Tamandua tetradactyla: one gene and its partner. The protein of the gene in region 1 interacts with the protein of each later gene in a pairwise test. Links are inferred from orthologs where the notes say so. Each region holds a gene or a part of one and is shown on either strand. Other genes may lie near its edges.

Region 1 (7,190 bases):
ACGATGGATGCAGGGTTCTTGGCCCCCTCCAAGACAGTGAGAGGTGCTGAGGGCTCTGGGGGTGCTCAGCAGGACAGGGGAGACAGCCTCAAGGTCCTAGAAGGGTGGCCGGGAAGCGAAGGGAACTCCTGAGCACCCCCGGCTCCCCAGAGTGCATGGCTCTCCTTTCAGTTAAATTCTTTGTTTTCTTTTATGGCTTCATGACCAGGAAGTTTGAGGTTTGAATCCTTTCTCAAGCGACACGATTACAAAGAGCTTCTTGGATGCAGTCAAAGCCAGGCCTTCCAGTTGCAAACAGATAGTAAGAGAAGTCAGTCCAGAACGTATTTTCTCATCAGATGGAGAGTAATGAAGAGGAGACTTAGGACACAAAGGCAGGATCTCGGGGCACCACTTTCTAAATTCATTTATATTTTTTGTTTTAAAATACGGTAATGGGGCAGGCAACAGTGGCTCAGTGGCAGAGTTCTCATCTGCTGTGCTAGAGACCTGGGTTCAATTCTGGAGCCTGCTCGTGCCAAAAAAAGAAAGAAAAAAAATACAATGATGAAGCAAGCAAATTGGTACAGAGAATTGTATAACAGAGACAAAGGTAGGGGAGTTTATTTGCATACCTGCAAAAAAATAAAAAGATTCTGGGGTACAGTATTTAAAAATAATAATTACCATGGAATAAAAGCTCACTGGACCCATTTACGATTTTTTAAAAAAGCTCTCACAGCGAACTACAATAGAAGGGAACTTTCTTTATGTGATAAAGGATGTCTACAAAAAAAAACACGTTAGAATGCCCAGCTTTCATGCAGGAGACCCGGGTTCGATTCCCGGACCATTTAACCAAAAAAAAACCCAAACCCAAACACCTGAGGCTGACGTCACGGAACACTGGGACAAGACCAGAAGCAGGAAGCTCAGTCTTGACACTCCTATTCAGCGCTGACCTGCTGGTTCTAGCCAGGGCACAAGTGATTTGATGTGAAGATGTCTTTTGCCAAAGGCCACCAGGAAGATGGATACCTGGCTCTCTGGAGAGTTTTGTGCCAAGACACATCGGTCCCTGTCCAGAGGGTCTTCTCCAGGGCGGGTGAAGCGAGGCTAGGGCTGCACATCCATTGCTGATGGTTCAATCCTGAGTTCTCGGGGCAAGGCCGAGAAGTGGGTAGCACAAACACATGCACACGTGTACAGGTCTGCCAAAGCACAGATCTATGTTTAGTTTTTAAAACTTAGCCTGCTCAGTAGGCGGATGTCACCGTGCAACTAACGTCTTTGCAGGGGTCTACCAGACCATGCACATCCAGGAGAAACACCTGCCCTGGGTCACCTGCCTGGCTCAGGTCCTTTCCCATCACCGGGAACAGATGGGTCCCTCTCTCCCGGTCATAGCTGCCCAAGCTCTCAGGTGCACCTCTGGAACAGGCTGAGGTTCTCCCTGCCAGGAGCTGCCACGCTGTCACGCCCAGGGTAGGTGGGTGTGAGCAGCTGTGGACCAGCAGCAGGCACGAGGACAGAAGGGGACTATGGGTCAGATGTCCTCATCTCCCACGGGCGTGTCCCTAAACTCAGGTAGGGGGCCAGAAAAAATGATAGCACCTGTCCATCTCTGTAGAGAGAATTTTCCGAGTCACCACCCCACATTCTCCCCCTTAGCCTGCTGTTCTTTGCCTTCACGACTCGGGCCCACCTAGCAGACCCCACAAACTGCGTGTCAGCACAGTACGTGGCACACAGTGGCTGCCCAGTAAAGGGCTGGCTGACTGAGGGCATGAGTGAATGTGAGAGCCAGTGAATGGTCAGGCAAGGCATGGGGGCCTGGGCACAGAGGGGCCCCCAGGCAGCACCCAGGCATGGGTGGGTGAGGCCTACGGGGGCCACCCCATTGGTGGAATGGGCTGGTAGGAATGGGCTAGGCAGAGGCAGGGCTGCCTTTGGTCAGGAGGCCTGCGAAGGCTGAGGCCAGAGGTCAGCTCCTCCCATGGCCAGCACTGCCCAGCAACTGGGGACCCCAGTTCCCCCACCCAGCTGCTGAAGAGCTGGCTTCCTTCTTGCCAGCCTGGCTCCCCCAGAGCCAAAGCAATTTCCCTGCCCAAGAGCCCTGTGCTGGAGAGACAGCTGGTCCTAAAGCACTTCCAGGCCAGCGTAGGCTCGTTGGGAAAGGATTCATTCCACTTCTGCCTCCAATCTGACTCCCCCAGCTTGCGCGCGCGCGCACACACACACACACACACACACAGTTGCTCACTATGGAGCCTCGGCGAGTGGCTGTCCTGGCTGTGGCCCTGCTTGTAGATGTTGGAGCCCCGCAGCATTCTCCTTTGGAGCTGGGCAGGAGGCTACTGGGCAGGCCCATATTGCACCCCAGCACAGAGCAAAATGGCCTCCAAACCTGCCTTATCACCCCTCCCACATCACAAACTCCTTACAGGCGGGGATCCCAGGAGATGCTGATTTGCGTGCCCTGCCCCCCCCCAACACTCGCTCATCAACAAATATTTGTGGAGCAAAGGAAAGTTTCCAAAAACCAGAAAGAAGAAACTAGCTGTGTGTCCCTGCAAATAGATTAATTCTAAAGAGCCCTGGAACCCCATATGTTTGATAGTTTCCAAAATAAATGGTTTCACTAGCTTTCTACCAGATTTATTGGTGGAAAAAGAAAAGGCTAAATTTAGGAAAGAGGTATTTAGGAAATTATTAGGCCGCAGGCCAAAGAAGAGCAGGACCAAGGAAAAGCTGAGCATGCAGGCGAATCCGGGAACGTTCCAGCTGTCTCTTCTTCCCAGAACAACGGTCACCACCATTGACGTCAGTGCCTGTGCAGAGACAAAAGGGCCTTTGGGTGTGTGCAGGGTGCAGCTGGGCCTGGATTTGCTTGGCATTTGCCTGTGCGTGTGTGTGTTAGGGAGAGCGGGCGTGGAGAGTGTTGAGGTGTCAGTGTCAGAGAAACGGGGGAGGGGCCACTCTACTGCAGGGAGCCACAAAGCAGGCGTCTGGGGGTTTACCTTGGCAGGATGGACCTATGACCTACATCTCTACCCTGTTGTGCATCTGTGTCCAGAGAAGTTGCACACACACCTTGTCAAGGAGAGGAAGAGAAGTGGCTCACTCGGTTTCTGAATGTGGGTTAGTGAGCTTTGAGACTTGTAGCTCAGTTGCCTGCAGGTTACCGGGTCAGTTTCCTTCCCTGGTCCCCAGGAGGGGCAGGAACAGGAAGGGCGGAGGGAAGTTGCGGGGAGGCTCCTTGGCAATCCCCAGAAGCCTGGCCTCCCCCATCAGACCCCCGCTGCCACTGATTTCCCAGGTGCCTTGGAGCCTATAGGCTGTGCCTCATCCCACTCACCCTCAGAGCTGCCGCCTCCATCACGTCTCTGGGGATGAGGCTGGCTCGCCTTAAGATACAGCCCCTGCGCCCAGTTAATCGAGTATGTGTATAGAAGTGCCCTTTTCCAGAGCAGTCCCTGTCCCCCTGATGGTACTGTTTGGGGCAGGCAAGGGCATCCCCCTCTATTTCTCTCTCCAATAGGTAACAGCGGCCCTATTTCCTGAGCCAAAAATTGCGACATGTTTTCAAACACAAGGAGAGTCCTTGGAAGCAGAGTGGCCTGGGGCCTGGGGCCTGGGGTCAGCCCCAGGGCGTCCAGCGGGGCGTGCGGGGGCCCTGGCGCCTTCCCTGGGCGGTCTGCGCGCGGGTCCTGAACGAGTGAGAATATGAATGAGTGGGAAGGAGCGGCTGAAGGCTCTCGGTCCCCGAATGCGGTCGCGCCCCTGGGCTGGGCTCCCGCGCAGTATCCGCTTCCCGGGGAGAGGCGCGCAGACACCCGCCGCGGCGCAGCCCCGCGGCCATCAGCCCCCACCCCCGCCCCGCAGTGGTACGCGCCACTCCGCGCTCCCCGAGCCGGCCGACGCGCCGAGTCCTGAATGGAAAACGCCGAGGCCGGAAGTGGAGGGGACCACTCGAGAGGAGGCGGAGGGGGGCCGCGTTTTCATTGACAAACCGACGCGGTGAACATGGAGTTCCATGTGCAGCTTATGTAAAGAGAGCGACACGCGCCGTAGCCAATGCGCTAGCGCGGCTTGCCGGCCCGGCCCCCCAATATGCAAATGAGGCCGCGTGACGGCCAATGGTGGGCGTCGGGGGCGGGCCCGGCACGCGCCGTCACGTTTTCCACTATGTGACAGCCGCGGGCCCGCGAGTTGGCTGCGGAGGCGCGGGAAGGCGCGGGCCGGTGCGGGCAGGCGCTCGGGGGGGCGGCGGGCGGCGGACGACGCACCTGGGCGGTGAGTGGGGCCGCGGCCGCGCGCGGGCTCGGCGGGCGCTGGAGCCGGCTGGGCCGACGCTGTCTTGCAGCCAGCCCGGAGCTTACGTAACCGCGGCCGGAGCCGGGCGGGCCGGGCAAGTCTGGGGTCCGTGCTGTGGGCGGGGCGGGTCCGCGCCGGACGAAGATCTGGACTCCGGGCTCCGGCGGGTCTGGGGTCCGCTCTGGGTCCGGGCGGCCGGGGGCATCGGGCTCCTCCTGACCGCGGAGACGGGAACCTAGAGTTCTCTGACCCCTCTCGGTTTGAAATGGGGCGTGGGGGTCGGGGCGCACAGAAGCGGAATGTGTTATCAGCAGGCATGGGGGGAGACCCCTCGTTTGCAGATCAGGAAACTGAAGTCCAGAGAGTTGAGGCAGCCTGGCCGAGGGCACACAGCTACTGAGTCAGCACCATACTGGACTGTCCTTCTTTAGATGATTTTTTTAAGGAAGACCTCTCCCCTGTCCCTGTGGAGACATGCGTGGGCAGGCCAAGGCCTCTGAGGGCAGGTTCCCCTGTCCCTGGAGCATGGAGGGCCCGTGGGGGGCGGTTTCCTGCTCTGGGGCCAGAGAACCAAGTCTTGGACTGGGAAGGGCCCCCCGGGAGAAGAGCCAAGGCCACTGATGGGGGCTTTGGCTGTGCCCCAGGCACTGGCCTACGGGCTTGACCTGGACAGCCCCTGGGGCCCTAGAATTGGTGAGCGGAGTGAAGAAAGGCCCTGTGCCAAGTGCCAAGCCAGGCCTGGGGACTCTCAGGGCAGGGCCTCCGCTGATGTTCACCCCCGCTGCCCCCCCCCCCGGCTTTCCCCCTGTATTCGTTCCCTCTCCCCACAGTGAGCTGGCAGCAGGGCCTGTCCCCAGGAGGGGTCTCTACTTGATGGTGGAGCAGCACCCCTCTGGGAGGGATACAGAGCGGGGGCCACAGCCTCCCTCCGCTCCAGGGTGACAGGGTGACGGATGGTGACTTGGTTGCCAGGGTTTCTGTAACCCACACAGCCAGGCTGGGGAAAGCTGATTCATACTCCCCGAACGACGGAGCCAGGAGGGGGCTGAAAACCATCCAGGGCTTGACGGAAGGGGAAAACGAGAAAGACCCGATATGTGCTGACATCAGGCCCAGGGCCGTGTCTTCAGGGTCTTTCTCTCCTGAGGGTCTCCATGTGGGTCAGCATGGGCTTCAGAGCTCCCGTGAACCCCGGAAATTGGGTGCGGACTCCCAAGTGGACTGGCATTTGGGAGGAGGGGCCTCCGGGCCCCCCGATGTTGAAAGCCTGGCAGGGTGGCAGAGCCCTTGCTGTGAGCACCGCTCACCGCTGCATCCCGCGCGGCAGGGCTACTCGCTGCTCCCCGGTTCCTGGTCCAGCGCGGGGCTCGAGGACTGGACTCTGCCTGCTCTCCAGACGAAGGCTTTAATTGGAAACTGAGTTTTTAAATCCAGGGCTAATCACTTTGTGGAAGGTGAATGAGTGAAACAAGGAAAATAAATCCACTTGTTGTTTGTAGAGTGAAAGCTCTATGATGTGCCCTGGGGTGGGGCGGGGGTCTGCTGGGCTGTCCTGCAGGCCACCTGGTAACTGTCACCCCCACCTCCCAGCTGTTCCAGGGCGCAAGAGTGGAGGGGGGACGCATGGCCTGCTGCCAGCCTGCTGCATCGGCTCCCCCGCCCGCCCTCGGTTTCCTCGCAGGCCCCGTGGGTCCTGGGGTGGCGGCAGCAGCCCCAAAGAGCACCCCGCTTCCGAGCAAGCGTAACCCTTTCAAAAATACTATATTTGGCAGAACTAACTGGAAACACAGTGCTGCAGCTGTTCCGACACTCTGCCCTTGCCCTGGCGGAAGCTTGCCCGCCTTCGGACCCAACAGAAAACCAGAAGGTGTGGATGTGGCCTCTAGTGGGCCCTTTCAGGGTGCTGGGGCCACCCCCTGAGCGCCTGCGCTTTCCTCCAGGGACTTGGGCCCTCACTGCCACAATGTGTGCTCTTCTGTACATTTGCTGTCGGGTCTGCTATATTGTTTCCAAGTCTAGAGCAAATTAGAAGCAGGGCCGGGGGCAGGGTCAAGGCCACGGCGGGGCCATCTGAGCTCCTCCTGGGGGTGGCCACACAGGGAGATCTGGTTCGGGTCCACTGCGTTCAGAGATGCTCCTGAAGAAACAGCCCTTCCTAGAGCGGGTCAGGTCAGGAAGCCTTGGTTATGTAAGGCGCGAACCCCAGCTCCCTAGAAACGCCATTGCCAGAGCAACCTCTCCCTAAGCAAGCCAGGAAGCTGACTTCTCTGCATTTTTGCTGGTTTGCAGCCTTTGTGTTGTACAGGCTTACGGTTTTCAGGGGCAGAGCCCAGAGTGCTTGAAGGGGCCTCAGTGTGGCTGAGACACCGCCCCGCCCCCGCCCGGGGCGCTCCTTCCCTCCGCTGCTCCCCTCTCCCAGCTCCCGCCGTCACCATGGAAGCACCGTGTTGTGTCGCAGGACAAACATTTTCTCCAGATTCTGGCAGGCTGGCCTCAGGGAATTGGCCTTCCTACCAGGAAGCAGCAAACTGCTTTCAGGTTGGGGATCAGAAGATGCCCCTGGGCTGGCAGGTGGGGGACAAGCTGTCTGATTGTGCTTGAGGCAGGCCAGGCGGGGCTTCCTGGGGACAGGGTGACCGGGCGCAGGGCTGTGCTGAATGACGCGCGACATTTCCGCATGGATCCAGCTGGCGAGGCTGTGGGCCCTGCTCTCTGATCTCCTCCTTAGGCCCCGAAGTGCAGGAGCCTTTGCCAGACCCGGTGGACAGACATGGTGGAGGGAGGCGCTGGGGCCCAGAATGAGCTTTTATTCCTAAATGTTTCTTTTTGCTACTTATTTTGGGAAGCACTGACTTACATGAAAGTAGAGAGGCTAGTGTAATGGGCCCTGAACC
Region 2 (7,801 bases), on another chromosome or scaffold:
TACCCAAGGACTTACACCCTACTTGGGGAGATTTAATGCATTTCTGGTTGTACGTAGGACAGTTGAGTATTGCTAGGCAAGGAAAAAATGTGTGTTATTACTTTCTAGTTAAAGATTAAGTATGGTTTAAGGTGATGTGTATAGCTGCCAAGTTTACAAGGGGTGGACAGTCATGGTCAGGTTCATGTGACAATTTTGCCAGATGGTGGTGCCCAGTCATTTGGTTGGGCAAGTGCTGACCTGTCTGTTGCTATGAGGACATTTCATGGACTTAAATCATGATAATGTTAGCTGTATCCACAGCTGATTGCTTTTGTAATCAGCTAAGGGGAGGGTCTTCTGCAATGTGTGGTGCTTAATCTAATCACTGGAAGGCTTTTACTGAGGATTCAGAAGAGAGAGTCACTCTTCCTGTCTCAGCCGGTGAGCTTTTCCTGAGGAGTTGTCGAGACCCTTCACTGGACTCAGCAATTTTCAGCCTGCCTCACAGACCTCGGACACTTACATTCCCACGGTTGCCTAGCCAGCCTCACCTGAGAGCTAGTTGAGGACCTTTAGCGGTTACCAACTTGTGATCTGCCTTACAGATCTTGGACTCTACATTCCCACGGTTATGTGAGACACTTTTACAAATTTTATATCTACGGATATCTCCTGCTGATTCTATTTCTCTAGAGAACACTAGGTAATACAAATGGATTATATATGTAACTGTTTTTTAGATTCTCCTTTTAACCCATTGTAACATCTTAACTGCTTTTCTCATTAATTAATGAGTTAAATGAAATTCTTTACATATGCTTATTTTATATTCATATGAGAGTTATAATTGTACCTTCTTAGAAAGTAAGTATTCTTTAACAGAATTAAATCCACATCCCAAAGACACCAGCATGTGGGTACTCGGCCAAAGGCTGAGAGCCTAAAATTCACATCAAATCACAACTGAATGGATTGGTTCTGAACTGTCTACTTCTTCAGTTAACATATCCCAAAACTTGGGCCTGGTTTACAGATGATTCTGCATGATATCCAGGTACCAACCGAAAGTGGACAGCTGCAGCACTACTACCCCTTTCTGGAATGTCCGTGAAGGACACCTCTGCAAGATGGGGTCAAGAGAGAACACAGGCTTTCAGTTTAGAGGCTGACATACTTCTATCAAGAGTGCTCATGAAATCATAGAGATAGTGATTTTTCTAACATTGTTGGCAATTAAAAGAATGTTTCACAGGACTGTTAGACATTTTTGAGCCCATGGCAGGATTGTATTCATAGAACTCCAGAATTTTAAAATTATATAGGTGTTTTAGTTTCCAAGCTGCTAAAATAAACACCATACAATTGGTTGGCAGAACAACAAGAATTTATTGGCTCACAGTTTCAGGGCCAGTATATTCAAGCTGGCTGGCATCTCGGGGGGTCCTTGGCTTTCCCTCACAAGACGCATGGTAGCATCTTCTCTTTCTTCTGGGTTCCACTGACTTCTAGCTTCTTGCCTTCCTGTGGCTTCTCCCTGTGTGTCCAACTTCCTTTGCTTATAAGGACTTCAGACATATTGGATGAAGGTCCACACTCATTCAGCTTGGCATACCTTAACGAATAACATCTTTAAAAGCCGACATTTACAAATTAGTCCACACCCAAAGAACAGGGGTTGGGACCTGAGCATGCCTTCTGTAGGTGTCATGATTCAATCCCCAACGGAGGAAACATAGAAATCATCTAGTTCGAGCCCCTCAATTTATGAATGGAGGCCTAGGTAACCTGTTCAAGACCATCAACTAACTAGCAGAGCTGGGATAGAAGCCAGTCTCTTCTTCTTAGACCCAGAGTCAACCAGAATTTCAAAAGTGACTTATGAGAACGCTCACTCACTCCATTTCTCACTTCTTTCACTCCTCATACATAAATGCTAATTCTCAAAGAGAAGGGAAGAGGGAGTCAGTGAGATTTAGTATATGATAAGGAAACAGTTTGGGGTTTATACAAATGCTGGTTTGAAACTGTCATGTACCCCAGAAAAACCATGTTCTTTTAATACTAATCCAATCTTGTGGGGCAGACCTATTGTTTGGGTGGGACCTTTTGATTAGGCTGTTTCCATGGAGATATGACCCACCCAGTTGTGGGTAGGACCTTTTGATTAGTTGGAGATGTAATCTCACCCATTCAAGGTGGGTCTTAATTAGTTTACTGGAGTCCTTAAAAGAGCTCGTGGAGAAAAAGAGCTCAGAACTGACACACAGAGCATAGAGATGAAAGCTTAGACACAGTTGTTCAGAGATGCTGAGAGAGCCATTTGAAACCAGAAGCTGGGACAGAAGGGCAGCAGATGTCTCCATGTGCTTTCCCACGTGACAGAGAAACCCTGGAAATTGGCCTTTCTTAAGTGAAGGATTCCTCTTGTTGGTGCCTTAATTTGGACATTTTCACAACCTTAGAATTGTAACTTGTAACTTAATAAATACCCTTTGCAAAAGTCAATCCATTTTTGTTATATTGCATTTTAGCAGCATTAGCAAACCAAAACATAGTCTTGATTTTTCATCCTGATTGTACTACTATTTATATTTTTGAGCTTTAGTTTCTCCATCAGCAAAGTGGGCATGTTATTATTAATAATAAAGTGTCTCATAAAATTATTATGAGGATTAATAATAGCTGATATAAAGCACCCAGCACACAGTAGGTGCTCAACAAGTTATAGCTATGATTAAATGGTAACTCTCCACCAAAACAAAGATATATTAAAATAATCACCCATGTGCCAAAAAAAACCTTCGGTCTTTGAGCAATGCACACTTTACAGTACTGATGCTTTTATATTAAAGTAGCACTGTAATGTTTAAATGAAAGTTACACCTACACCCACACACAGCTGTCTGTTAAAAATATCTTTTATTGAATGAACAATTCACAAACCCAAATCAACTCTATGTGGATCAATATTCCTTTCACTTCCCACTTTTTCATTGGGATGCTCAAAAACAATTCTTTTCTCTTTAGACAGTTTGCTTACTCACAAACAGCCTAACATGAAATGTAAAACATTGTATTTTTTAAAGTATGATAAGCCCTGGAACACCAGGGAATCCACGTAAGGGCTCTGTGGTGAGAACTTCTGAGTGGTAAGCCATTGGAGCTTTAGAGTGGTAAGGAATTACCCAGGGCTCCTCCCCATCGATACAAATACTAGTATTTGCTTAATACTTTATAGCAAACAAAAGGTTTCCATACATACACAATTTTAAATGGTCTTATAGAAACCAAAGAAAGAATTACTTTCCCTAAGGCAACAGAAGTAAGAGTTGGCTTCATAAATGTCTGAATTTACTTTATTGCAGTTTCCTTCCTCCTTTTTATCTTGCCCACCACAGTAGTGACAAACAAAATTCATTCACTTATTCAATAAACAGTTGAGTGCATGTGTCAAACTCTGTTCTTGGTATTGAGGAAACAAAAAAAAAAAATAAAACTAGTCAGGGATCTTCATCTTGAGAAGTCACATTTTGGTGGGAATCAGAGAGACACTTTTATGATAATAAGTACAATTACTGAATACCTACTTCGTGCTAAAAATTACAGTAGGCACTTTTCATTTAATCTTCATCAGGATAGTGTAACGTATGCATCAGACGCATGTATGACAGCTGGGAAGAGGCCTCAATCTGCCCTGAGAGACAAGCATAGTTTCACTAATTACATAGAAAGATGTGCAGAAATATTCCAGGCAGCTCAAAGTTCGTTCTAGTAAGGAGCCAATTCCAAAGAAGGGCATTTTATAGAGAAAAAAATTGCAAGTTCAAAAGTTAAGAGACATGGTAAACTACAGGAGTACTGGGATTTTTGTGTTGTTATATTTTCTCCTGTATCCCCAGCACCTCGAGCAGTGTCTAGTAAATAATGTCTCAGTAAGTAATTGTTGAATGAATACAGGCGTATCATAGGGCTAAGGAAATACTACAGCCTGCGGTTCATTATCGCTGGAAAGGTAGACAAGAATGAAAAGTAAGCCATACCAACTTTAAGAGATCAGGGGTGATGTGGTGATGGATAGTAATAAGGCTAGTTAAGAACAGGAATACTGGTACCCGCCCTGTTATTAACCCTTCTCCCGAGAAAAGTCCAAGGATGCCGCACCGTGAGGGACAGGAAATTGGTCGCTGCGCCAATCGACACTCACAAAGGAGGGCTCTCTGACCGAAGCTGGACTGAAGCACATGGTTTGGGCTCTAAATCTAAGTAGAGGCTACTACTCTTCTCCTTCCACCCCATCCTTCCCTCGTTCCTCGTTTGGTTCCACCACCTACTCAAAACACTCGAAACTGCATTCCGGCGATCCCCAGCACCACGCCACGAACCCTAGAGCGCGTACCGGCCCTGCCCCGCCCTTCTACTCTACAGGACGCCGTGAGAGCGCACGCGCGCCTTTCAGAACGAAGCGCGCACCCGCGAGCTTCCCGCATCCCCGTGCTCATCCGGGTCCCACTGAGTCTCAGCCAATGGTAGTGGCTCACGGCCCTCTGGGGCGAGGTTTAGTCTTCCCTCACATGGGGCCTATGATTGCTGCTGGCGCCTCCAGGGAACGGCGACCAAAAAGCGGAGTACAGGGCCTGAGTCAGGGAGCCCAACTTCTGGACGAGAGTCGACAGCTTTGGGGCTGAGGGACCTTACACCCTTAAAAGCACCCGAACCGCGAACAGATTCTTCAACCAGAGCCGGTGTAGTAAACACACTTCAGAAACGTGAGGTGCCGGTGGTCACATGGGGAGAGCGCCCACCAATGATGAGTCAGGGGCGGGGCCGAGGCCGCTGACGCGGCGGCGGCGGCGGCGGCGGAGTCACCCGGGCAGCCTCGGGATCGGTAGCCCACCGGCTACCGTCCAGCAGTCTAGACCCCGGCCTTCGTCTTTGCTGGTTTTTCCCCCGCCGAGAGGCAGCGTTGCTGACAATGGCTGAACCCTCTCTCCTTCCTCGCGGTGACTCGCCTCCGGCGGGCCATTTTCTCCTCACGGGCCGGCTCGGTGGGGCGAGGTTTCCGTGACCAACCACCTGGGACTGCCGGTGCCGGCTCCGGCCATCGTGGCGGTTCGAGCTCCTGGAACTTGCTCACACTCCGGGGATCCGAGGCCCTCGAACGTATGCGTGTCGTCTAGGCGATTGCGGCCGGCGTCGGGCCCTAAAAGGTGTCACTCCCGGACACCGCTGACTGGGCAACCTCCATTCGTCTTCCAGCTGCGCCTCCGGCGCAGTTTCCGCCGGTCTCCTCCTCGGAGTAATTTTTTCCTCTGTCCCCTCCACCGCCCTTTCCTCGCTCCTTGGGGGCGGCGATTCTCCTGGAAGCGAAGGTGTAGGTTATGAGCTGGATCTTCCTTGCTTAAATCGCTCTCTGGAGGGGCTCGTCGCCGGGATGGGAGTGAACGCGGTGCACTGGTTCCGAAAGGGGCTCCGGCTTCACGACAACCCCGCGCTGAAAGAATGCATTCAGGGCGCCGACACCATCCGCTGCGTCTACATACTGGACCCCTGGTTCGCCGGCTCCTCCAACGTGGGGATCAACAGGTGGCGGTGAGTGAATCCTGGGGAAAATTAATTCCGGTGTTTGATGAATCCGGACTTGATAAGCGATCAGCCGAATCCGAGAGTCTTGACCTGGGAGCGCCTTGCTTGTACTATTTAAGAATTGTAGGTGCTTTATGTTCGTATCAAATATAATTGACAGTATTTTTTCTGGCCAGAGAGTCAGCTTGGCCTTCATCTTTGTGTCACTACGCTCATGGGACCTCTTCCCCCTGAGTTTAGGGAGACTTAGCAGCGGTGGAGTTAAACAGCTTTTCAGTCCTTAGTGGCCTCGGGATTGATTTCCTGGGCCTCTTTGTGGCCTTCAAAAGGATCATTGTTTTTAATGTTTACGTTTGTGTAAGTAATTCATAGTATGAAAAAAAAATCATTCATTCAGTACAGTCGTCTCCAAATACAGTTTTCTTCCACCTTCAGGTTGCTGTAGGAAAAGCAAGAGAAGCATCATTATCTGGTTTCTCTATACTCAGTGTTCTTCTCAACTCCTCCTTGTGGTTGACCAGACAAAGCACACTTTTTCTTTCTAGGCAAAGTATAATCCTTCTAGGGACCAGAGATCTGAAAGAAATCTAAGAGAAGCTTTATTATCTGTTCCTGAAGTATCAGGCTAGGTGATTGTTGGACCTCCTGGTGGAAATAAAATTATTCATCTAACGAATAGAATAGTGGTCACCTCCTGTGTGCCAGGTACTGCTTTAAATGCCAGAGATACAGCAATGAAGGAAACAGAAATTCTTGTCTTCTTTGAGCGTATATCCCAAAATGTGAAATACGTAATATTTTAGGTAGTGGTAAATGCTATGGGGGCAAAAAGAGCAGAAAAAAGAGATAAGGAATATAGGGATGGGCTTTGTAATTTTAAATAGGTTGATTGGGGGAAACTCATTGAAAAGGTGATATTTGAACAAAGACATGAAGGAGGTAATGGAATGTGGATATGTAAGGAAAGAGCATTCCAGGCCGACGGAACCGTAAGAAAGAGAGCCTGAGGAGGAAACATGCTTGCCTTTGGAGGGAAAATGGGAGGAGTCAGTATTGACTGGAGGGGAAAAAATTAGGTGACAGTATAAGTGAGCAGAAAAGTAGTAGTAGTAGAAGAGGTCAGAGATGTAATAGGACCAGATTGAATAGATCTTTATAGACATTTGTCAAGATTTGTACTTTTACTGAGTTAAGTAGGAAGACGGGATCTGAGTTAAGTTTGAAAAGAATTTCTCTTGCTGTGATTCTGAGAACAGACAAGACTGGGGGCTGGAGGTGGACAAGAAGCGGGAAGACCATTTAGAAAGCTATTGCGTTCTTCTGGGAGAGAGATGATAAGGGTCTGGACTGTGGTGATAATGGAGGAAGTGGTGAGAAGAATTCAAATGCTGGGTGTATTTTGAAGGCAGAACCCCCAGTGTTTGTTGACAAATTGGATATGTTGGTGTGAGAAAAAGAGTAGTTAGGAATAATTTCAAGATTTTTAACTTGATAAGCTAGTGGGATAGAGTTGCACTTTGCTAAGAAAATGAAGTCAGAGAAGTCATTAAGAGGATGATTGAGTCCTCTTGGGCCTGGTTAAGTTTGAGATGGAGTGCTTTACCTATTTCATATGCTGCTGATAGGTCAAGGAAGATGAGGGCTGCAATTAAAAACTGAATTTAGCATTTTGAGGTCATTTGTAATCTTGTTGAGAGTTCAAGTGGTTTCAGTAGTGTCAGAAACAAGAGCCATTTTGGAACAAAGAGAGGTAGGGAGAGGGTTGGGGACAACTCACATGGACAGCTCTCTGGAGAACTTTTACTATAAGGGGATCAGAGAAATGGTGTGGTTCCTGGAGGGGGATGTGAAGTTGAAGATTCTTTTTAAGATGGAAGAAATTACAGTATGTTTGTATGCTGAAGGAAATGATACAGCAACTATATGTAAAACAATTTTTCATTAGCAGAAATAGTGTCATTAAACTTCACATCCTAAAGAGGCAGGGACTGAGTTATATTCAATCTGTTCTCATAGCACCAGATTGAGTGCGTTTTAGTAACTCAATTACTTTTTGTTGAATGAAGTGACATCCTGATGTCTGTAATTTTATATTTTAACAACTTTATTAATTTCCCTATTGACTATAGGATAAAGCCCAAATTCCTTACCTTGACATTCAAAATCTGCCTTTTGACCTTTGTAATCTCATTTTTTCTTTTCATATGTGACCTCAACTATTCAGGGAAAAAACAAA

What was found. The genes of interacting proteins can lie anywhere in the genome.
Region 2: the proteins of PER2 (region 1) and CRY1 interact in a two-hybrid assay, tested with the Homo sapiens proteins (5 studies listed by BioGRID, with this or other methods). The link is inferred for Tamandua tetradactyla from reciprocal best matches to the Homo sapiens genes PER2 and CRY1.

Annotation. Positions count from the first base shown.
Region 1 is NC_135329.1:214,847,370-214,854,559, forward strand, and holds the start of PER2 (period circadian protein homolog 2), read left to right. Parts: upstream 1-4,175; 5' UTR 4,176-4,275; intron 4,276-7,190. UniProt on the Homo sapiens protein: Transcriptional repressor which forms a core component of the circadian clock.
Region 2 is NC_135333.1:23,633,909-23,641,709, reverse strand, and holds the start of CRY1 (cryptochrome-1), read left to right. Parts: upstream 1-4,790; 5' UTR 4,791-5,413; coding exon 5,414-5,571; intron 5,572-7,801.